Coturnix japonica: one gene and its partners. The protein of the gene in region 4 interacts with the protein of the main gene of each other region in a pairwise test. Links are inferred from orthologs where the notes say so. Each region holds a gene or a part of one and is shown on either strand. Other genes may lie near its edges. The genes, in order: BHLHE40, ZBTB44, FAM204A and SMYD1.

Evidence for each region.
Region 1: the proteins of SMYD1 (region 4) and BHLHE40 interact in binary tests that used the Homo sapiens proteins (3 or more experiments, as listed by UniProt). The link is inferred for Coturnix japonica from reciprocal best matches to the Homo sapiens genes SMYD1 and BHLHE40.
Region 2: the proteins of SMYD1 (region 4) and ZBTB44 interact in binary tests that used the Homo sapiens proteins (3 or more experiments, as listed by UniProt). The link is inferred for Coturnix japonica from reciprocal best matches to the Homo sapiens genes SMYD1 and ZBTB44.
Region 3: the proteins of SMYD1 (region 4) and FAM204A interact in binary tests that used the Homo sapiens proteins (3 or more experiments, as listed by UniProt). The link is inferred for Coturnix japonica from reciprocal best matches to the Homo sapiens genes SMYD1 and FAM204A.

What each region holds. Positions count from the first base shown.
Region 1 is NC_029527.1:15,936,569-15,942,316, reverse strand, and holds the start of BHLHE40 (class E basic helix-loop-helix protein 40), read right to left. Parts: upstream 3,385-5,748; 5' UTR 3,124-3,384; coding exon 3,044-3,123; intron 2,948-3,043; coding exon 2,878-2,947; intron 2,539-2,877; coding exon 2,431-2,538; intron 2,091-2,430; coding exon 1,967-2,090; intron 1,183-1,966; coding exon 359-1,182; 3' UTR 1-358. UniProt on the Homo sapiens protein: Transcriptional repressor involved in the regulation of the circadian rhythm by negatively regulating the activity of the clock genes and clock-controlled genes.
Region 2 is NC_029539.1:1,351,371-1,357,089, reverse strand, and holds the start of ZBTB44 (zinc finger and BTB domain-containing protein 44), read left to right. Parts: upstream 1-2,004; 5' UTR 2,005-2,331; intron 2,332-4,567; exon of another isoform or gene 4,568-4,650; intron 4,651-5,719. UniProt on the Homo sapiens protein: May be involved in transcriptional regulation.
Region 3 is NC_029521.1:26,437,676-26,443,425, forward strand, and holds the start of FAM204A (protein FAM204A), read right to left. Parts: upstream 3,550-5,750; 5' UTR 3,506-3,549; intron 3,279-3,505; exon of another isoform or gene 3,149-3,278; intron 3,019-3,148; 5' UTR 2,955-3,018; coding exon 2,700-2,954; intron 1,822-2,699; coding exon 1,731-1,821; intron 1,224-1,730; coding exon 1,187-1,223; intron 725-1,186; coding exon 622-724; intron 1-621.
Region 4 is NC_029519.1:77,830,730-77,835,828, reverse strand, and holds part of SMYD1 (histone-lysine N-methyltransferase SMYD1), read right to left. Parts: intron 3,002-5,099; exon of another isoform or gene 2,855-3,001; coding exon of another isoform or gene 2,826-2,854; intron 2,515-2,825; coding exon 2,338-2,514; intron 1,665-2,337; coding exon 1,451-1,664; intron 1,046-1,450; coding exon 915-1,045; intron 1-914. UniProt on the Homo sapiens protein: Methylates histone H3 at 'Lys-4' (H3K4me), seems able to perform both mono-, di-, and trimethylation. Acts as a transcriptional repressor. Essential for cardiomyocyte differentiation and cardiac morphogenesis.

The DNA of each region.
Region 1 (5,748 bases), on a different chromosome or scaffold from region 4:
GGGCCATCCATACCTTCCACTGGGGACAATCTAGACCCTACAGACCCACATCTGCCTCTCGGGGTATTTTTTCACAGCTTTGACACATGGCAGCTGACTGAGCCAACCCGTTCTGTGGGTGAAGAGAGGGGGGTGGAAAGCATCGAGCTCTTTGCTTTGTCCTTTTGGAAGCAGCTCTGCACGGCCAAGCCAGGTGCCTCCTTCATCCTCCTGCACGTTCCCTGGCACAGAGGACAGGGACGTGGCTCCCTGCACGCCACGAGCCGTGGCCCACACCTCCCTCCAGCCAATGCATACAAGTGAAACGGTCTCAAACTGGAAAACAAAAAAAGACAACAAACCAAAACCCACGTCGCATTTAGTCTTTGGTTTCCAAGTTCAACGGGGGGATCTGCTTCAGTGCCTGCAGCAGGGCCGAGGAGTCGATGGGGGAGCGGGTGGGCCCCGGGGAGGGCAGTCTCTGGGGCAGCAGCAGTGGGGGGGACAGCTTGTCAGGGCCCACAAAGCCGGTGAGCGCAGCGGTGGGCGTGGGCAGCCCGGGGTACAGCACAGGGACGGAGGCCGGGTACCAGCACTTCTCCAGCATGGGCAGGTAGGCAGTGGCGGATGGTGGGATCAGGTAGAAGGGCAGGCACAAGGGGGGCTGGTGGGCGTGGGGGGGCAGGAAGCCGCCCGCAGTGCCCATCACCTCGTTGCCAAAGGGGCTGTCGTCATCAGGCACCTCCAGCCTGCTCCTCTTGGCCGGAGGGTCCTCGCTCTCTTGCTTGATGGAGCTGATCCTCTCCTGGACGGCGTATTTCAGTTCGGTATCCTTTGGGAAATAGGGCTGCTCCGGTTTGGAGTCGTTTTTCTCCAGCTCCCCCCCATAGCCGCTGTCCGTGTCTGTGTCGCTGCCGCTCTGCTCCCCGCTGGAGGCAGCGAATGTCCTTTGGATGACGGGCACACAGTTCTGCCCGCGCCCCTCGCCCGCTTTGCCCCCCGGCACCGTCTTCTCCTTCAGGTCCTTGGGGCTGCCCGGCAGCAGCTCGGCCGCCACGCGGTGCAGGTGCCCCACCAGCTGCGCTGCCTTCAGCTCCTTGTTGTCGTGCTTGGCCACGTACTGCAGCAGCTCCTTGGCGCACAGCTGGAAGCCAGAGCGGAACATCTCCTGGCTGGAGTCGAGGTTCCTCGCGGACAGGTCACCTGAGGAAACATTAACAGGGAGAAATTAAAAATTAACAGCACGCCAAATACTTCCATCACCACCTCCAGGCTGACAGCACGCGTCCGGTACAACACAGCCAGCACAGCAAACTCAGTGGCCAACCTGAGTTCCCACAACTTATGCGCCAGAATCCAACCTGCTACTTTCACATCCCTCCATTCACTTCTACCCGTGCCCTTCATCTTTCAATTCTGCATTTGGCACTTCCACTGGGGAACAAGCAGACAGTGCATCCCACACCCAGCAGGACCCCTCAATGCCACGCTGTGCCCCCACTGCCAATGGGTCTCCCCTGGTGCTGTCCCTGCAGGGCAGTGGCACCTCGTTGGCCAAGCTCAGTTTGACTTTATCAGAGCCATGTGAATGCCACGTGTGCAAGCAGCAGGAGGAAGCAGAGGGAGCGAGCAGCCACTGTGCTGAGCCCCGTCCACCTGCAGAATGAGGGAACACAGATCTGCACACGGACAGCGGGTGTTTGTGTGCTCTGGGGGAAAAGGAAAGCGCAGAACCAGGATCCAAAGCTCATGAATGGAGAGAGCTGAACGACTTTGGAGAGGGCATCACAGCAAAGCTGCGCTTTAAATAAAACTACTTCAAATCCACTTTAAAATGAAAGCGACCGCACAGCACGCCTGGCTCCGACCCCATGGAGAGCTGCACTTGCTCTGCACAAGCAAAGCGAGAGAAACTGATGGCAATCAAAGGGCAGAGGCTCAGGCATCCCTTCCCCGCGCAGTGTCCCCGCACGCTGCACTCACGCACCTGCCTGCAGCCCGCTCTGCAGCGCCAGGATCTTCTGCTGCTGCTGCTCCGTCAGCGCCGTCAGCGCCTTCAGGTGCTTCAGGGTCAGCTCCAGCACCACCGCCTTCTCCAGGTGACCGAGGGTCTGCGGGCAGAGCACACAACGCGTTGGACGCTGCGGGGGTGGGGGTGGAAATAGGCGCTGGGAGACATTCCCACGGCAAAGGTGGGGGCGATTTGGGGCAGGGACTCGGGGGCAGCGCTGCTAATTGGGGAAGGCACAAGTCGTGCTTCCTGTGAACAGAAATATCCGGAATTTGGACGGAACACACAGAGAGCAGCCGCGGGGCAGCCCCCGGCCCCACATCCCGGGGGTATTTGGGGACGCCCAACCCCGAGCACAGCTCCGTGCCTCGGCGCTGCTGCCCCCGCCGGCATCGCGCGCTCAACGCAGGGCCGGGCCCGGAGCCCCGTTGTGCCCGTACCGTCAGCTTGAGGTGCTCGGGCAGCAGGTCCTTGAGCTGGGCGATGCACTCGTTGATCCTGTCGCGGCGCTTCTTCTCTATCAGCCTGTGGGGCAGCTTGTAGGTATCCTGTAAGGAGCGGCGGGTCAGCGCTCCGCACCCACCCTCCGTCTTTTTGCCTTCTTTCCTTTTTTTCCCCCTTCCCAAATAATCGCTAAACCCACCACGCATTCCACCCTCTGTTCTTTTTTCCTTTTCCTTTTGCTTTCCCCCCCCCTCCCCACCCAAATACTCACGCACCCCCTCCGCCCCCCACCCCGCAGCATTTCTTTTTTATTTCCCCCAGAATTACCCAGTGGAGGCCCCTTCCCCCCTTCCCGCATCACCCCACAGAAGCTCAGCTCTCTTTCTCACTCCCCCCCATCCCAACGATCGCTGACCCCCGCCCCGCACCGCCCACCCCGTTACCTTGCTGTCCTCGCTCCTCTTTAACCCCCTCCTGGGCTTGTACACTTGGTACATGTGCGCGAAGTCCAGCCTGCACGGGCGAAACGAAAGCAGCGAGGTTACCCCTGTCCCCGGGGCCGCGGCGGGGGGACGCTCTCGTGTCGTCCTGTCCCCCCCGCAGCCTTACCCCGGCACATCGGCGCTCTCCAGGGCGGGCAGTTTGCCCAGGCACACGGGCGGGGGCTGCGCGCTGGGGATGCGCTCCATGGGGGCGCGGAGCGGAGCGGTGCCGCGGGAGCCGGGAGGAGCGGAGCGGTGCGGTGCGGTGCGGAGCTCAGCGCGGGCAGCTCATGCCGCGTCCCCGCCTCGCCGGCTGAGGAGCGGAGGGAGGCGGAGGGCCGGGTTAAATGCGGCCGAGTGGGTGGACGGCGGCGACGTGCGTTACCCTGTGACTCCCGGCACGTCTGGCCGGGCTCCCCCCCCCGCTCCCTCCCTCCCTCCATCGCCGTCACATGAGGCTCACGTGTCGGCGAGCGGCGGCCTTCCTCCCCCCGCCCGCTCCGCCGTGCAACGTGCCGGGGGGGGGTGGAGGCGGGGCGGCCGGTCCGTGGCCCCGGGTGGCCCCGACCCCGGTTGCTTCCCGGCCGCCCCTCGGGCTCTGCCCCGCCGTCCCGCAGCGGAGCGGGGCAGGAGCTCGGCACCCGACTCCCGTTCTTCAACACTCCCGCGGCGCGTCGGTAATCCCCGCTGCCGGAGCCCTTTGGCTGCTCCCTTCTCTCCGAGCCGTCCCGAGGCTCGGGGTTTACTCATGACCTTAAGGGATGTTGCCAAGGATTTTGGAGTCCCCCTAAAAAGAGGATCCGAGTGGAGCGATGGCATTCCTGGGCGGCAAGTGGGATGGCGGAGAGTTGGGTTACATTGTCCTCCCTATGATCAGCTTTCATAAGCTGGGGCTGATGCAATCAGCAATTTGTCTCCGAGATTTTGTTTGCTGAATTATTTCTGCGCAGAAATGCATACATACAGGGCGTACAGAATGCAGCAAAGAGGCCAAATTTCCTGCAGTCACGGGTCTGAGGTGCTGTCCCAGGAGAGGAGCAGACAGTGCCCAGCAGTGATCTGCACTTATCTACAGACCCCCCAGAAGCCAAGGGCTCGCAGTTCGGGCTCAAGTTGTACTGAGGGCTCGGAGATGGTGATTTGGGGCAAAACACTGTGAAATCCCAACAGCAGCATCGGATAGAGCCCGTGTGGGCAGCTCGGAGTTAGCAGCTGGGCTGCGGCTTCAGCCTCACGATAAGGTTACTGCGGGTGGTTTTGTTTTAAAATGTCCCTTACTTAATATATCCACGAAGGCCAGGCATGTGCCTGTGGCCTGGAATCAGATAGCTGACTCCTCTGCTCTCTCATTTCCAGCAATCTCGTTTTGGGTTACCAGCACCGGAGGTTAAAGGACGGCCGCAGGCGAAGGTTATGCAGGGCAGCAGCGCTTCGGCTCGGCACCCAGCGGGCACCCGATGGGCATCCCCAGAGCCCTCCTACTGAACACACCCCCACCCTCCCAGCAGCCTGCAGGTGGTGACCAAAGCTCGGACTGAGCCTTGAAAACACACTGCCCAGAGCTGTGGTGCCCCATCCCTGGAGGTGCCCAAGACCATGGGTGGGCCCTGGGCAGCTTGAGCTGGGGGGCAGCCAGCCTGTGGCAGGGGTGGGGGCTGGGTGACCTGTATGGTTCCATCCAACCCAACCATTGCATTAATCTGTGATGGTGTCGGGGTACCCATTGGGAAAAGCAGTGAGAGCCAATGGCACTGAGGGTCTGCTATGAGCAGGGTGCTGGCACTGCATGGTGAGAGCCTGCAGCCCATCAGCCATGAGCTCTCTTCTGACCGAGCATGGGGATGTTTGCCAGCACCCAGCACAGCAGTGGGAGGAACACGTGGGCAGGAACTATTTGGAAGTGGCAAAATTTGTGGACATAACAATTTGTAATAAGAGACCTTATCCCACTTTAAGGCTCTGTTTAATGAAATCTCCCCACTGTGCCGTGACAGCCGCCCTGCCCATGCGCTCGCTGCTAACCAGGTCCCTGCTTGCACCATCGCTTGGAAAAACACCCCCGGCTCTGTGCTGCCAGCGGGACCTCGAGTGCCCCCAGCCCTGGTGTGAAGGGCTGCCCCCAGTCCCATGGCCATGCATTGGGGGCTGCCGAGTGCTGCTCCTGTGTACCCGTGAGGGCTTTGCACAAAGGTATCAGATCCCCACACAGCTCTGCCCAACATCAAGCAGTGAGTCAGCCCCGGGCCGTCAGATGTCTGTGCTTCAGCTCTCAGATCTGCAGAGCGGGGAGCACGGCGCTCTGCAGGTATGCAAAGCAGAGTGAGGTGCCTTCAGATCTCTGGCTCAGAAAGCACCGCACCACCCAACTGCAGAGCTGTTTATTTTTCCCTGGTATCTGAGTGCCCGGGTGAGAATCAATAGCAGGGAGGTCTGCTCTCCCTGCAGGGCACAGGGAGCAGTGGCTGCAGTGACACAGTGCGTTTCTTTCCTACCTGGATATAAACAATTCCTTCTCATACCAATAAAACCCCAAACCAAGCAGGCATGAGAAAGGAGCAGGAGCTCATTACACATGGTTCGACTCGGGGCACAGCTAGGTCAGAGGGACCCTCCACCCCCTGCTGAGGACAGAGGGCTGTGGGTGCAGAACTGAGCTCAGTGGTGATGTTTGGCCCCTTGGAAAAAAGAGGACACAAAGAAAATGCAGGAGGTAAGGAAGGGCAGAAACATGGTGCCATCATCCCCTGCACACGGGGATCCCTGTACATCATGAGCCGGATGCATGCCAGACATTCACGTGAAAGAAGCAAGGGCAGGAATTCAGCACCATAG
Region 2 (5,719 bases), on a different chromosome or scaffold from region 4:
TGTGTTTGACCGTGCTGCTCCCATGTCCCTCCACCAAAGCATCACTCCTCGCATGGCCCCGACAGCCCCCGGTGTCACCCTCGGGGTGCACAGATCCCATCAGCTGCAGGATGGATCCAGCCAGAACCGAGCTCGGGGCTTCCATTGCAAGGGGAGAAAAGTACCATTTTCTGAATCTTTGTGTTTGAGGGCAACTCTGGTTGTGACTCTGCCTTTACCTCTTCAATAAAGGGTTTCCTGCCTATCGCCTCTTGGCTTTTATTAATGCTTTTCTCAGGTTGTTTTCTAGTTCCCTTTCCAGCAGCTGAACAAAGGGTGAATTTGTTTTTAAGGTGCTAAAGCGTGGGCAGCAATACAGCACCCTGGGATGCGTCACACCGATGGACACCGCTGCATCCTGCCCAGGGCCCCCAGCACTGTGCTCTGGGACCTCCTGCTGCAAAACAGGCGGAAGCAACGAGCAAAGCTGTGCCAGCAGCACATTTCTTTTTGCAGCGGTAGCAATCAACGTGCTGCTGGTGGCTTCCTGGTGGGACAGTTCCTGTGCGTGCGCTCCGAGCTGGACTTTTGCACGCTCCCAAAGTCAGATGTTCCCAATCCCCCAAGGTTTCAGCAGCAGGAAGAGCAGTGCTGCCCCAAAGGAAGCTGTGCCGGATGGCTGAGCTCTGCAGGAGTTGCTCTTGCAGAGCGCTTTAAGGCTGTTTTCCTTTGCTCCATTTGCAAACATGATACACCCCCAGCTGTGCGCTTTTTGGAGCAGAATTTGGAGGGTGAGCATTCTTCCTTGCCTTGCAAATTACCTCTTATTTGTCAGCTGAAAAAAAAGTGAGAACAATCTTTGCACGCACACTCACACACACTATTTGCTTCACTTGATGCTATTTCACCCCAGTTTTTCACCAAAGCAATCTGCAGAGAGCAATGCATCATGCTCACCATGCAGCTACGTGCAAATGCAAAGCCAAGGGAAGGAAAAGGAGAAACTGAAGCAGCAGTGAGTGCAATCTTGCAGCACACTGGGGTTCCCATCTCCCTCTGGTTTTGCAAGAAAACAGTCATGAAACATCCCCAGGGGGGTTCTTTTACATTGCAGGGAGCTGGGAGCACCGTGCTGCTTTTCAAATCCATTTTATGCTGCAATTTGCAGTGCACTCAGTGGGATGAGGGCTGGGGGGGTGCATCAGCGTGGTGTGCACTGTGCATGGTGTGTGTGCACTGTGCATGGTTTGCATGCACTCATGCAGTGTGCACAACCCTGGGTGTGCATGCACTGGGGTGTGCAGCATGCACAGTGCTGGTTTATCCATGCATGCATGCACAGTGCTGGTTTGTGTATGCAGTGCTGCTTTATCCATGCAAGCATGCACAGTGCTGGCTTATGTATGCACAGTGCTAGTTTATCCATGCACAGTGCTGCCTTGTCCATGCACAGTGCTGGCTTATGTATGCACAGTGCTGCTTTATGCATGCAAAGTGCTGGTTTATGCATGCACAGTGCTGCTTTACCCATGCACAGTGCTGCTTTATCCATGCACAGTGCTGCTTTATCCATGCACAGTGCTGCTTTACCCATGCACAGTGCTGCTTTATCCATGCACAGTGCTGCTTTATCCATGCATGCATGCACAGTACTGGTTTCTCCATGCACAGTGCTGGTTTATGCATGCACAGTGCTGCTTTACCCATGCACAGTGCTGCTCTACCCATGCATGCATGCACTGCTGTGGCCGGTATATGCATTTAGTCCCTTCGCGCACGCACTGAGGCGCTTTGTGTGCACACTCCTAATCAGTGCATGCACCCTGACCTCTATGTGCACCCCATGCCTTCAGGTGCACGGTCCCACCTCAATACCCCACATCCACACCTCCACCCCATACACACACATGCATTATTACACACATTATAACCCCCAATGCACATCCCACCCGCTGCTCCCGCTGTGCCGCTCACTGCGCACGCGCACTCCGCTCTCCCCGCCCCCCTTTACGCCCCGCCCCGTATCGCGCTGCACTGTGGGACACAAACAAAGTGCCCGGCCGGGCGGCGCGGGCAGCTCGTCGCTCGGAGCCGTCCCGCTGAGCCGCCCCTCCCCTCCCTTCTCCTCCTCCCTTCATCCCTTCCCCTCCTTCCCCTTATTGAGCCGCCGACCCCCTCACCCTGGGGGCTGCTCATCGCCCCGCCAGCTCCGCGCCTGAGGGGGAGGCGGCGGCTGCTGCTGTGGTGTTGGTGGTGGTGGCGGTGGCAGCGGCCTCTGCTCCTCCTCCGCCTCCCAACGCCATGGCCCGGCCAGCACCGAGATAGGGGGCTCGGCCCGGCGTTAGAGCGCAGGTAAGGCCCTGAGGGAGAACGGGGGAGTGTGGGGGGGTAAAGCTGCCCTAGGGACCCTCTGTGCCCTGTGGGCCCGACCCCTTGTGCCTCTGTGATGCCCCCTGTTGCGGTGCCGGCAGCCCGCGGCCTGTTGTTGCTCCCCCCCACCCGCCGTTGTCCATCTGCCGGGGGGTGCTGGGCTCAGCTGGGCTCAGCTGTGCCGTGTGTGTGGGTTGTGATGTGGGTTGTGAGCGGATCGACGTAAACATTGGCACATGGGGATGCGCAGGGGGAGAGGGGCTGCTCTGGGGCTCGGCTCTCGTGTATGAGCTGCCTAAGTGGGCATCCTGCTGCCTTCAGCAGCCCCTTGTGCTTCTTAACGGGTATAGGTGTGCTGGGCTGATGCAGCCTATGAAGTATGACCACCCCATGGGGCTTTATCCTGTGCCCTGAAGCCTCTGAGCCACCCTAATAGAGCAGCACGCTCCTTCCTCCAGATCTACGAGGCAGCTCCTCCATCTCCTTGCACTGTGAGGTTACCTGTCTGCTAGGCCTTCTGTGGTTATCCCATTGACTGTCTACCAAGAGCTGGTTATCCCACTGACCAAGAGCCCCACATGCATTTACACACCGTGATGTTTTGCCCTCAGCCCTTTGGATATGAGGCATTTCTCCTGCAGGTTCCCAAGGAGGAGCTTTCTGCTTACTGTCCCACCTGATCCCATAGACACCTCATGGTGCCTGCTCCCACGTGTGGTACTCATTGCTATATGTGCCATAGGGGTCACCCAGCTGTGCCCTGCAATTTGTGGCTGCCTTTAGGTTGCTTTTCTATTTGGAATTACTATGTGTGTTCCCATAGCATCTGCAGGTTTCAAGTTGGACATAGCTGGTCTGAAACGCACTGGATTTCTCTTCTCTAGTCATACATGTAACTCGAAAGTCTCCTGATTTCTGTCCACCTCTTGTTCCCATTCACTCAGGAATCTTTCTCACGTGTTTCCAGTAGTCTCTAGCATTCACTCTTTTCCTCACACGAAGCCCTAGGTTTGCCCTATTATCACGAGGGGAATTTCTCAGCTTTGCTATTTACGTGTTTGCTCGTGTTCTCTCCCTTCTTTTCCCTGGCTTCTCTTTAGGTGGAGGTCACCCAGCCCACCTGCTGAGCTGACCTCTGGTTTCTAGCATCACGCTGTTGTACACGGAGTGACGTGGGACTGCTCTGTGAACCCTGCAAGGTGATACTGGGTGGGAATGGCTGGCACAGGCTGCTGTCCAGGAGTCTCGTGGGGCATTTCACATGTGCCATTGAGCTCTCCTGTTGCATCTCGATATCCACGTGTAATGCAGATCCAAGGCGTGATGTGCCTGGAGAGCTTGCTTGGCTCTGAATGAATCTATGTAAGAAAGAGCAGAAGTGTTAACCTGCTAGCTAACATACAGCTCTACCAATCTAAATACTTCCATTGATGTAAAGCTGTTTATACCAGAAACTAGTTAGAACACTGTAAGCGTGTCTCCCTGGGGACTTCTTCTGTTTAAACAGCTGGTTTTAATCTGCAGCTCTTAATTGGTGTGAACACTCCAAGAGATCCCTTTCCAAGGGAGGGGAATTTCCAGCCCTTGTTTTTGGCTCCCCAGGTGGATGCTGGTTGTGTGGATGCTCACCTGTGAGGTGGAGGGATCGCTTTTGTTTTCCCACACAGAAGGTTTTGCATTGTTGGGGCTTTTTGTTGTTGCTCTTGTTTTTTAACAGGGTGAGAGAATTCCTCTTTTTGTGGGTGTCAAGTTTAGGGGGAGGAGTGTCTTCATGTCTTTCTTCTGTAGCATGTAAGAGAAGTAGTTAGCAAGTGAAATTGAACCCTCTCCATTGCTTTTTGCAACAGGAGGTTCATCATAAACTGGCAACTTTGAAAGGGGTGATTCCTTTCACTGGTGTCTGTAGCATCTGCTCAGCTGTTTGCTAGGAGGGGCGAAAGAAAATACAGCTTCCTCTGTGTGTGAAGCTGAACAAGTGCCCAAATGTTATTTCTGGAGGCTTTTTATGTTCGTGTCCTTCTCCTGAATGGATGTGTGATGCCTGGTGGAAGATGGATGGTGCTCGTGTGAGCTCACATGTCCCTGGCAGAGAAGGAGGCAGAGAGGAGGCCTCAGGTCCTTTGCACTAGTGTTGCTTTCTGCACATCTGATGGAGTCTGTTACGTGTGTAAACTTATTTCTTTATAATCTTTGAGAACATTTGGGTTTATTTCTACAGGAAGATGTGGTGATAAATGTAACAGCTCCTGAAGGCATTGTAGTTCAGTAGCTGAAAGAGGAAAACCGAACCGTGACAGATCGGTGAGTGATGCTGTTGCTGCCGGTGTGTGATGAGGAAGGAGATGGCCCTTGATGTAGAAGGGATTGTCTGTTGACATACTTCTATCTCGCCCGGTTGTAAGTAGGTTATTCCTGTTCAAATTATGCAACTGTGCAGACAGCCAGACTTCAGGAATTCCAAATACTTCAATGTGTCAAGTGCCGACTTCTAAATTAAATGCTACGGTTGCGGAGCTGTTCACAGTCTGTCGCTTGAATTATGACATCAGTCTTGGGATTGTCTCACTGAAAAGGGGCAGCGATTTAATTACTTCCCTTTCAGAAAGTGTTCGATTTCAGGAGTCAAACTAGATGGGAGATGTGCCTTCTGTGGCACTATTGCAGTAGTCAGCGATTGCTATTTTGGCAGTTTGAAGCAGGAAAATAATACTGGAAATGGTGGTTTACATAAGATTTTTAAGGCAGCTCCTTGTTGCTGCGGTGGATGCTGTTATTGCTTTGAAAGATGCAGTTTTTAGCCAATAGATCCAATTAAATAGTTGTGTACTTACTGCTATGTAAACACAGGAGCCCATTACTCTCAGCTTGCTTTGGAGTTCCAATTGATTCTTCTAATGGTTTCACAGGATGAAAACAAATGTCTGTGGAAGGTGCACAAATAAAATGGTGGTGGTAGGGAATGAACTGCAACCTGGTAACATGGCATTTGTGTGGATGGATGGAAAGGGTGAACTGTGAAGGCTGGGAATTTCATTTAATTCTCTCCTATTTAGTCAACTTAAGGAAGTGACTTAAGCTATACTTAATTTGCAGATAGTGGTTTTTAATATATTACATCGTAGAGCTGGGGAAATAAACCTGTTCATGTGAAATAATGATCCGAACATGTGAATGATGGGATAATGAGATCTGCGGAGTGTGTGTGCGGAGCTTGGCATGTGGTCTGTGACAGTGGCCAGAAGTAAATCATTAGGGGAAAGAAGCAGAGCAGGCAGCTGATGTTACTGATGGCTCTTCGGGTGGCTGCCAGCAGCCAGGGATGGCCTGAGCCATTTGGGCTGTGCAGGCAGTTGTGGGTAACGATGCCTGC
Region 3 (5,750 bases), on a different chromosome or scaffold from region 4:
TCAGTGTCAATGCAGAAGTTTACTTTGAGCAAATGAAAAACAGAAAGTTCATGATAAAGGATGCCACCTGAATACTCGATGTCTTAAAAGTAACAGGGGACCACTACTGCTAAACTACAGAACAAACTCATCACATTTCAAGTTCCTCACACATCTGTCATGTTCAATCAGTTATACCAAATATGGCTAGTTACACAGCAACAGTTGTGAACTAAGTGTGTTGGAAAGTCAGTAAAACTTTATGATAGATTCAACCCCCTGATTAAAAGAGCTACTGGTCTCAACCAATGGACCGACTTGGAACACTCTGAAGTTAAAACACAGTAAAAGGTCACTGTAATCAAACAAGGCATATCAAATCTTTTTTCTCTTATCACAATAGAATATAAAACCAAGGAAGGAAATAGGGCACCAGTATTGTCTAGAAACCTTTCAACCCAAGTAAAACCTACATGACACCAGAGGGGAATTCATTTAAAAATACACACAAAATTATTCTTCTTTATTGACTTGGTCATATGCTTACTTCTGAATAGACTCAGTTTTACTGTTATTTCAGTTAGCACAGCCTTCTTTTACTAGCAAAAAAAATGATGACACAGCTTTTGTAACAACAATCACCTTTTGTGGAGTTCTGCTATCCACAGGTGATTCAAATCTATCATTGATTCCAAAGTACTGTGTAAGTTCTTTCCAGTGCTCTTCATTGGCCAACTGCTGACTACTAAAAACCAAAAAATAAAACTCATTAATATAACCAATTTGTTTCCCACAGCTTGTAACGTTCTTTTCAAAACTAAAACAAACTCTCCCATTTGGCAGATGCGTTCTTTTCACCTGACATCTTTTAATGCAAGCTATTCCTTTTCTTCTGTAGCCACAACGCTGCAATCTTGAAAGCAAGCTTGTATGCAATTATATGACAAACACCACTAAGAACAATAAATTAATTTTAAATTGCATTAAAAAAATACTATTCTGTTATTTTAAATCAAGCAGTAAGCAAGCAAAAAATCACTAGAATTCAACTCAGTCTGTAGTACAACTTGACTTGAGTACATACAACCAAACAACTTGAGTACATACACAATATAACAATGTTCAAAGAGTGTCTGGCTACACTTCTTACAAGTTTTGCCTGATATTAAAAACAGACCTCATATAATCACATTGACCTGGTTCATACCTCTTAGTCACTTCATTTTTGTCCTTTTCCCGTTTTTCTAGAAATGAAAAAAAGAAAACCCAATATTACAGTGATGCCCTATTGCATCCAATAAGGTTAGCAGATCATAATAGAGGATGCCCCCATTGAAAGACTGTCACAAGAGGATCTATAAAGAATGATTATGGGGGAATTAAACTACTCTGCTGTCAGGCCTGTCATTTGAAGAACGTCTTACAATATCTGTCAAGAAGCCTTGATCAGAACGAACAAAATAACATATAAAATAATGGACTGAAAACATGCTCAGCTAGTTTAAGTCAGTACTGACTGAATAAATTCTACCCCCTCTTTAAAAAGAAGAGGAATGCTTTACTTGAACTTTAAGTAGCAATTTACAGTCTAGGCCTAGAACAGGTGTGTAACAACTAGAAAAAGAAAATCCTACATATCAGACAACACCTATTCAGGCATTCAATTATTGATGAAAGCTAAAAATGTACTTCCAATGCACTTAACACTTATTCCATTTGGAAAAAATAAGGTCTGGAATTATGGAAAACACCTTTTCTGCGGCGCTTTCTTTTTCGGCCTTGGCTTCCCTGCTTTGCTTCCATTTTCATATCATGGTTTTTCTTCTGAAGCTCCAAAAACTTCTACAAGATTAAGAAAAAGCAAGGATCAGTATTTTTTAATGTTTGTTTGTTTGTTTTTAAAGTTACACAGAACACTAAGAAATGTTGTCCCAATATCTCACTTACCCATAGTACCTTCCTGTATCTATTACATTCAGACTTATGCACTGAGAGCATCCAGCCCTGATGGTGTTAAACTGCCACTGGCTCTAACACTTTCCCACCAGTACCACTGACTTTCTGCCCCCCATCCCCTCTAAGTCCCAGGAACATTCAAAATAGTTTTCTCAAGGAGCACGATGCTGAATATGCTTTTGTTGGTTGTGTACTCCCAGGCTATAGAACAGTTTGTTATTGCACAGACAGTGGTTTAGAATCTAAGACTACTGACAGTATATTCCTTGCACATCAGGAGAGTTTTTAAATGCCACAAGAAAAATAAAGAGAGGTTATAAGCAGTTATGAGTCTGGATACCTGCACCTAACCCCTATGCAAAGCAGAACGGTTTAGCTCTACTTCACAGATAAAAATCACTAGTATAGTCACTAACATGCTTAGTTATAAACCCTTTCACACACAAAAATCAATACTGAGGAAGATCAGCACCCATATACTACCAGAAACACAAGTATTATGCAACTGAGTAGTTACCCAAACATTTCTTTGCTGTGCTTTCAGTCAGTGCTGCACAAGAAAATAATGCAAGGTTTTCCTGTTTTTCCTCCTGTTTAAATTCACGTTCTCTCTACCTGAAGCAATCTAAGGTATAGTATTGTGACAGCACTTTTACTGCATTTCATTTTGTATTGGTATACCTAAAATATCCAAATTTGAGTTGCTGAGATTTAAAAAGCAGCTATTCGAGTAACCTCTGGATATTTGAAGTTACAATACCCACATTCCACATATTTAAAGGTACTCCATCAGGACATGTTTGAGATGTGTTTTCTCCATCTGTCACAGGTATCAAAACTGATTTAGTGCTGGTATTACTTTCAGGTCCATTCTCCTGCAATTCAGGCAGCTGAACTCTTTCTGTATCTTCCTTTATATCTTCATCCTTCAAACAGGAGATACATGACTCCTCTTCATTCTCAGAGCTCAAGTCAACATCACTTTCACTCAGTCCTGGAGGTAAGAGCCCACTCCACATCTTCCTCGTGCAAGGCCAAGGCACTGGGAGTTACTGCATAAACACAGGAGTCACGTGAGCACACCTGTTGTGAGACAAAAACCACAGTCAGTCAACAGAGAGTCAGAAACACCAGAATATAATAACAGAAATACTGAGCTACTTTACTCCTGAGGTGCTTTACACGCTATCTTTATAAAGCTGTCAGTACTTACAACTTCAGAAGAGAAGTTAAGAAAGGATTTAAGCACACCGATTAGAGGCAGTACAAGCTTTGTTTCCTCTTCCTTATTCTTTAAAGTTTTCTCACTTCGGGTTTATTTACAGTTAAGAATGACACATCAACATCGCCTCCCCAGGGCAGCAGAGAACACACAGCCCTCACACCGACAGAGCTGTCGGGAAGACGGGGAGAAGAAACCGCTCCATAAACAAGCCAGGAAGGGAGAAGTGCTGCTCCAGGGCAGAGAAACAGAAGAACAGGAGAAAAAAAACAAACACCCAACAGCACAACCAGGACCCGAACAACCCCAGCACCCACATCACCAGCTGAGACAGCACTGCGTGTTTACCTGGCCGCCATCTTGGCACCCCTGTTACACCCCCGCCCTCTGATTGGACGCTGCCCCTCAGCCAATTAGCGGGCGCTTTGCTGCCTTGAGCCCGGCCTCCATGAGCCGTATGATAACAGGGCCGGGCGTGCAGCTTCACATTGGTCTTATGTCCCCAGATATATGAGGAGTTCCAGTGTAAATAGGGATAAAGGAAGACAAATGCCTTCCCCATAGCTGTATAACAGATCTTTCAGTGTGTTTCCTTTCTATACCGTGATATTACATCCTCAGTTTCAGTTCTGAAATCAATTAATCCCGTCATTAATCACTTTGCCATGAACCACATGTAAATTTCACACTCAGCTTGCTAACTAGTTTTTTTTCCTCTCATCTGGGAAATCGATTTTTAAAGAGATTTGTTTTATTTACGTTTAATACTTGGTTCCATTTGGCACACAGATAAGTGGTGATATATAAATATATCGCTATTGTGTATTGATTTTAAGGGATACGTTTCCAAAGAACAAGTTTCATCTTGTCACAATTTGTATCCAAAGAAACAGAGAAACAACATTGATAGATTTCCCCCTTTACTTTCAGCATCCCAGAAGCTCTTGCATTCAAAGGGTGGGTGGCTACTGAAGCTACAGTTGTTTAATAACAAAAATTTGCAACTTACCCATTTTTGGTTTCGTTACTTTTGTTGCTGCTGTGGCTGAAACAATGTGTGCAGAGTCCTTTAATGAGTTAAAACAAGTAGGGAGCCCAGCCTTGTCACCAACATACTTCCCTAAGTATGATACTGATTGTATCCAAAATTTGCTATAGGGTTAAACTCAAACCAGTTTTCTGTTCGTCCTTTAACAAATATTCACATTATCTGGTTTATTTCCTTCTGATTAACAGATCCAACTTCACTTGAATTCCTGCTCTGGGGACCTGCTGATAATGACTATTATGAATGAAACAAGTCATGCCTCTGAAAATCCTATGGAACATCAAACTAGTCTAACTCCTAGACTTAGTATTTTTGATGCTATTATTAAAAATTACTTGAAGGAAGAGCTATTGCAATTATGTGCACATGCAATTAAATCAAGTGTAATTTGACTGTTTGAAATGCATCAAGAACCTCATATTCCTGTTTTCTCAAGATAATACATCTGAACACATTGGAAACCAGCTCTTAATGGGGCACCTCAGCTATAAAATTTAAGACACAAAGTAGTATTTGTAAACATTCGACATAGAATTTTTCACACGTTCTGTTGCAGCACTGAAGGGGTGGTGTTTTGCTAGTTTCTGAGTAAAAAAACACTGATTGTGATCTACAAGACTGGTTGTTCTTTGGGTTCTTTTTGAAACACTCATGTAATTATTAACTTTAACAGCAGTGATCAAATTTGCCAAATATAAGAGCAGCTGATGCCATGTAGTCCCCGAGGGCAAGTTCTCAGGTTGGAACTCTCTCCATAAAACTGGCTGGAGCTCAGATCATTGGACTTCAGGACAGTGGAAGCCTACACTATTTTCTCAGCTGCATGCTTGAAGCCATGATTAACTAATCACAAGTAATCATATACATGCTTATTTCCACAAAATATATGCAAATGGTTTCCTAATACGGAAATAGAATCTGCTACAACATAAATTATGCTCTATTAGCTGTTTCTTGTTTTTAGCAAGAAATGAGGACATCAGGACCTTTTCCTTAAGCAAGGAAATATGCTGCATTTTATCCTTTTGAGACAGTGTTTTGGAAATATGTCAAAATGATCAAGAACTGAATACTTGTTTAATCATAATAGGAAGGCCTTATTGTATTAGCAGATTACAGTCATTGTGTTAGTATACTATCTACCTTGTATTCATTTTTGCTAACATAATGAAATTTTTTTCCAGCATGATTATATTTTAATACAATAAAATAGTATTGGAAAGGAAAATTAATATGATTTTAAAGTGAGATGTAAAGACAATAAAATAACCTCTGTTTTTTCCTAAACTTTTAATTCATTCCTAACTTAAAAATACTTTTTATTAATCCTTTAAAATAATTATATTCAAATGAGCATTTAAAGTCTGTTAAAAGGATTACAGAGTTATTTCTTTTTTCACATACTGTGCCATATAAGAACCAAATTAATTCTTGCTAAACAAACATTACAAGAACCATCATAGAGAAAATTAATGGAAATCTCCAAAGAACATTATCTAAGACAGTACATTAAAGTATATTAGTAAATATTCTACAGTATATATT
Region 4 (5,099 bases):
AGCAGAAAACATTGATAAAACACTGTGGCTGTGGAGTTTTTGGCAAGCAGTTTCCTGCAGTTGATGTCATGCACACGGTGCTGCTTGATGGATCGGCAGCAGTTTAGGCTCCTCCTGGCTTAGGAGGGGGTGGAGGGCAGAGTATCCCTCCGGTGGCTGTGTGAGAGCAGCTGCCTAAACTGCCTGCTCTGCTGGGACATCCCTGCAATCCCACTGTGCCTTTCAAGCTCTTCCTATCTCACACATCCTGCAGACATTTTCTTGCAGGATTTGGGTGGGAAATTGGAATGCACAGCACGCTAGGGCATCCAGCACTAACATGTGACTCAGTTTGCAGATTACAGTCACATTTCTCATTAAGAACCTATTGCTAAAGAGTTTATCAGTAATTAATAGAGACTGCACGTTCCCAAAGAAATGAGGGTTTGTGTCAGGAATGGCCATAAACACATCAATGATAGTGATACATGGCTGATTGAAAGCTTCAGTAATGAGGAACTCTTGGACTGTGGACTCAATTTAATCTTTAATAATTCATTAACTGTGAGTATTCCTTAACTGCTTATGAAGCCTTAATTGAAACTATCTAGGTAGCTACTTGCCACTCTATCTGTCTATTTTGAGTCTGATTTCAAAACTCACAAGGGAAAACTACTTGCTGGTTCACTGGATTTGAGGTCAAGCCCTGCTGAAAAGCTCTGTTGGGTCTATCAGACAGCATTTTTTTAAATAATAAGAGAAAAAAAAACAGCTCTTCTTTAAAAAGAAAATCCTAGCTTTTTGTTTCTGGACTAGAGAAGGAAGTGAATCGATTTTCTGGGACAGGGATCTGACACTCTGAGGTTAGCAATCTGCTTTGTGCGTTGGCTGTTAGGATAGATGCCCACTATACTTGAGGAAAGCAATGCACTCACTTGCCATTGTTGAAGATGACAGTGCAGTTGGGCCAGCAGTCATGGTTGGCCTGGCAGAGGTTGGGGAAGATTCCCACGCCAACAGCTTGCAGTCCTCTTTGGTCACTGAGGGTAAAGGCATTGCAGTTGATCTAGTCCCAAAAAACAGGCAGGAAGAAGCATGAAAGGAGAAATGGCTGAATTCAGCTATTAGTATAACCTCCAAACCTCCCACCAAGTATCCCACCTCCAAACTTTAACAAGGAAGGAGGAGTGCCTACAAGATTATCATAGAAGGTAATTCCAGAAATGATATGTGGTGAAGGTGCACTGGTCTCTTGTATGGATTTCTCCCTGTGCCCAGTGGATTTGTCCACTGGGATGCTGTGTGTCCCTGGGGGAAGCTGATGACCCATGGGGTTAATGAAGCCTGACACGCACTGACTCACAGCAGGGCTGGAGGCAGAGCTGCTCAGCCTCACAGAATTTCTCTCTTTGCACCACAAAAATGTATAGTTAATATTTTAGGAAAGGGTATTATGAAATCTTTGACATACCACTCCAAATATGTGGGAGATGTACTGCATGCCAAACTGTTGGCTCTGGGCTGGCCAGAACTCCAGGAAGTTTTCCACATCAACACGGAGGTCCTTCTTCTCCTCCTCATCAAAGCTCTCCACATGGTTTTGCAGGTCGTCAATAGAGACCAGGCAGTTCTCTGACAGCCCACTGCCTTCTCTCTCTATCCGCCACAGGATCCGTGCTGCCAGCCTGGCCAGGAGAAAGCCCAAGGTGCTAGCACCATGCAACAACAGACCCTGGTGCTCATCTACTCAGGTTCTGGTGTTCCTCCACCCAGCACAAGGAAGGGGACTGAGAGGCCACAAAAATTCATTTACGGGTGGGACACTGTGTGCAGCCTGGCCATACATGACAAGTTCATGGCTGGTCCCCATCCATGAGTTTTGAAGGGAAGGAAGCCACAGGGGTTTCCCATCATGGCATATATGTTCTTATCTGGAGAAGTCTTACAGAACCCCAGCCCTAGACAGCTACTTCCATTTCTGTGGGGATTCCTATCATTTTCTCACTATGGAGCCAGGAAATGAATCAAAATCAATACGTACTGGAGCATCCCTGTTTTTCCCACTGAAATTGCACAAGGTGGCTTTTCCTCACCTCATTCAGCTGCTGTAGGGTTTTGGGTGTCTAGGACCAAATAAAAGCAGGAACACAACCCCCTCACACTGTGGACATTCCTCCAAGCCCCAACCCATGAGCTCAGGGATCTTTGTGGCCTTCCCAAACCAGTTTCCAATACCACACATCCAACTTGGGACACCCAGCTCTCTCTCACCATCCCCAGAGGGATTTCCTGTCCTCCCCCATGATTTCCCAGCCTGGTGGTGCACCAGACAGCCAGTCCCTCAGGGCCCACTCTCACCTGATGTTCTCGGTGGGTGCCTTGCCATGCTTCTTGATGGCAGAGCACTCATTTTTGTGGTTCAGCCAGGCATCTCTCTGGCAGGTCCGGTCGCAGTAGTAGGCAAACTTGCACTGGCCGCAGCGATGGAGCCTCTCCTGCCGTTTGAAGCAGGTGTGGCAGACTACATGTGTCAGGCTGGAAGGACAGAAAGACGTGCAGGCTTATGCCTCAGTGACAGGATCATAGAGTCATAGAATCATTAAGGTTGGAACAGACTTTTAAGATCACCATGTCCAACTCCAACCCATCCCCACCATGTCCACTAACCCATGTCCCTCAGTGCCACATCTACACAGTTCTTGGACAGTACAGTGACTCCACCATCTCACTGGGCAGCCTGTGCAAATGCATTACCACTCTTTCAGAGAATAAATATTTTCTAATAACCAACCTGAACCTCCTCTGGCACTACTTGAGGCCATTACCTCTCACCTTATCACTGTTACCTGAGAGAAAAGGCTGACCCCCACCTCATCACAACCTTCTTTCAGGGAATTGCAGAGCAATAACGTCTCCCCTGAGCCTCCTCTTCTCCAGACTGAACCATCCCAGTTCTCTCAGCCATTCCCCATTAGACTTGTACTCCAGATCCCTCACAGCTTCATTGACTTTCTATGGGCAAATGTCTTTTTGGTAGTGAGGGGCCCAAAACTGAACTAAACTTGAGATGTGGCCTTACCAGGGTCATATACTGGGGGACGATCACCCTTGCCCTGGCTGGCTGCACTAATTCTGATACAAGCCATTGACCTTCTTGGCCACCTGGACACACTGCTGGCTCATGTTCAGCTGGCTGTTGACCAGCACCCTCAGGTTCTTCTCTTTTGCACAGCCTTCAAGCCACTCTGCCCCAAGCCTGTAGCATTGCATGGGGCTGTTGTGACCAAAGGGCAGGACACAGCTCTTGGTCTTACTGAACCTCATACAACTGGCCTCAGCCGAGTGATCCAGACTACCCAGGTCCCCCTGCAGGGCTTTCCTACCTTCAGACCGACTGATGCTTCCTCTAAACTTGGTGTCATCTGCAAACTTACTGAGGGTAATGGGTCAACTCCTTTCAGCTTTCTGCCTATGGGCTCCTCCTGCACAGTATGATGGAACCTCAGACATTTTGGGAGGACAGATAAACATCTCACCTAGCTTAATCCTCATGCACTTGTCTGATTCTGTTGCTTCCCTATTTGGCTATGCCAAAGAGACAAATATTTTGTTTAAAGGAGGAAAGCAATAAAGCATTCCCCAGCTCTCAGCCCTCTTTTCTGCTGCTTGTCTGCTCCTCCTCAGCACCGCTACTGTTAACAGGATTTTCAGTCTGGCTTTGTTTTCTGCCTGGCCCATGCTAAGCTGAAAGCAGACATCTAATGAGTCTGTGTGGTCCTAGCTGCTATCTCAAGCTTTATTTAGGCACAGTCATACTGTAGGGATAAAAATACACATCAGAAATGCTCTGATAATGATGACTGACAGATAGAGGTGGTTATATTGGGAAATCCTGTGTTTGTGCTGCTTGAAACCAAGCTATTTTTCTATGAAAAGCAGATTTGCTTGACAATTCTTTCTGCCTCTGGACCTGAACTGCATCTATATTTGAGAGACCTGCACCTGGTATTGTGTTGGAAATGACATAAGAAGTCCAAGAAAACAGCCTCCTTCAAAAGTAGGTGTCCTCATCATAAAGTCTTTTCTTGTATGTCTTCTCCTCCCTTCACCAGTCTCTTGGCTGTCTAACACCAGGCAATACCAGTCTGGGTGGCTTTGGGGCTCTCCTGATCCCAAGGATTCCAGGAAGATGCTTAGGATGGACAAAGGGACAAAGGGCTGAGGAACCCATTCAGCCAACCCCAAGCACAACTACCCAGGCTTGTACGCAATTTCAGCTGCCCCAGGGACAGGCAAGCAACACCAAGTAGTTGAAAACAGAAGAAAGCTGAACTCAGAAGCGCTCATGGAGCATTGTCTGGGGTAGGACAAGGGGCAGACTGACTGTAATACCAAGTTTAGGAAGCAGTATTTGTGTTTATGAACACTGTAAGATGTTATTCATAAATCCAAGAGGGTTTTCATACTCAAAATGACAATATGGTGCTGAGCTGAGAATACTGATGATTGAATGCTTGTTCCAGAACATGGCACCCATGGGGGTGCCATTAAACAGCAAAGTAACACGGGCAGTGCCTGATGTAGGGATGTGTTCTGCTCTGTTTAGTCTGGCATCAGCAGCTGCACACTTCTCTGCCTCCATCCAGGCTCAACAGCAAGGGGGAGTTTAAACTCCTACTGCTTAGACACCTCTGTGTTTGGGGGAAGTTCTCATCACTGCAGAAAGCTCATTGACCCCATGGAACGTGATCATTGCCCACAGCAAGGAAACAGGCACGGGGAAGGAAAAAATGAGTTGGCAATCACAAGAGAAGGCTGTGCCACAAGTAATAATCACTCCCATAGTCACAGGACTGTCTTGCCTCTTCCCCCCCTTATATATATATATATAAACATGTGTGCGTGTTTATTTCTATCCCAGTACATTTAAAATGCTTTTTCATTCCTCTGGCACTAGTACATGAGCTACTGAAACCACCCACCCTGTGTGTTGGCTCAGGCAGGATGGAGAGGGCCACTGATGGAAAGCAGGTTGATTTGCAGCAGGCAACACCACGTGCAAAAATGAGGTTTGGAAAATGACAGCAAGCAGTGCTGGTGCAGGGGAGGGAGCCCAGTGC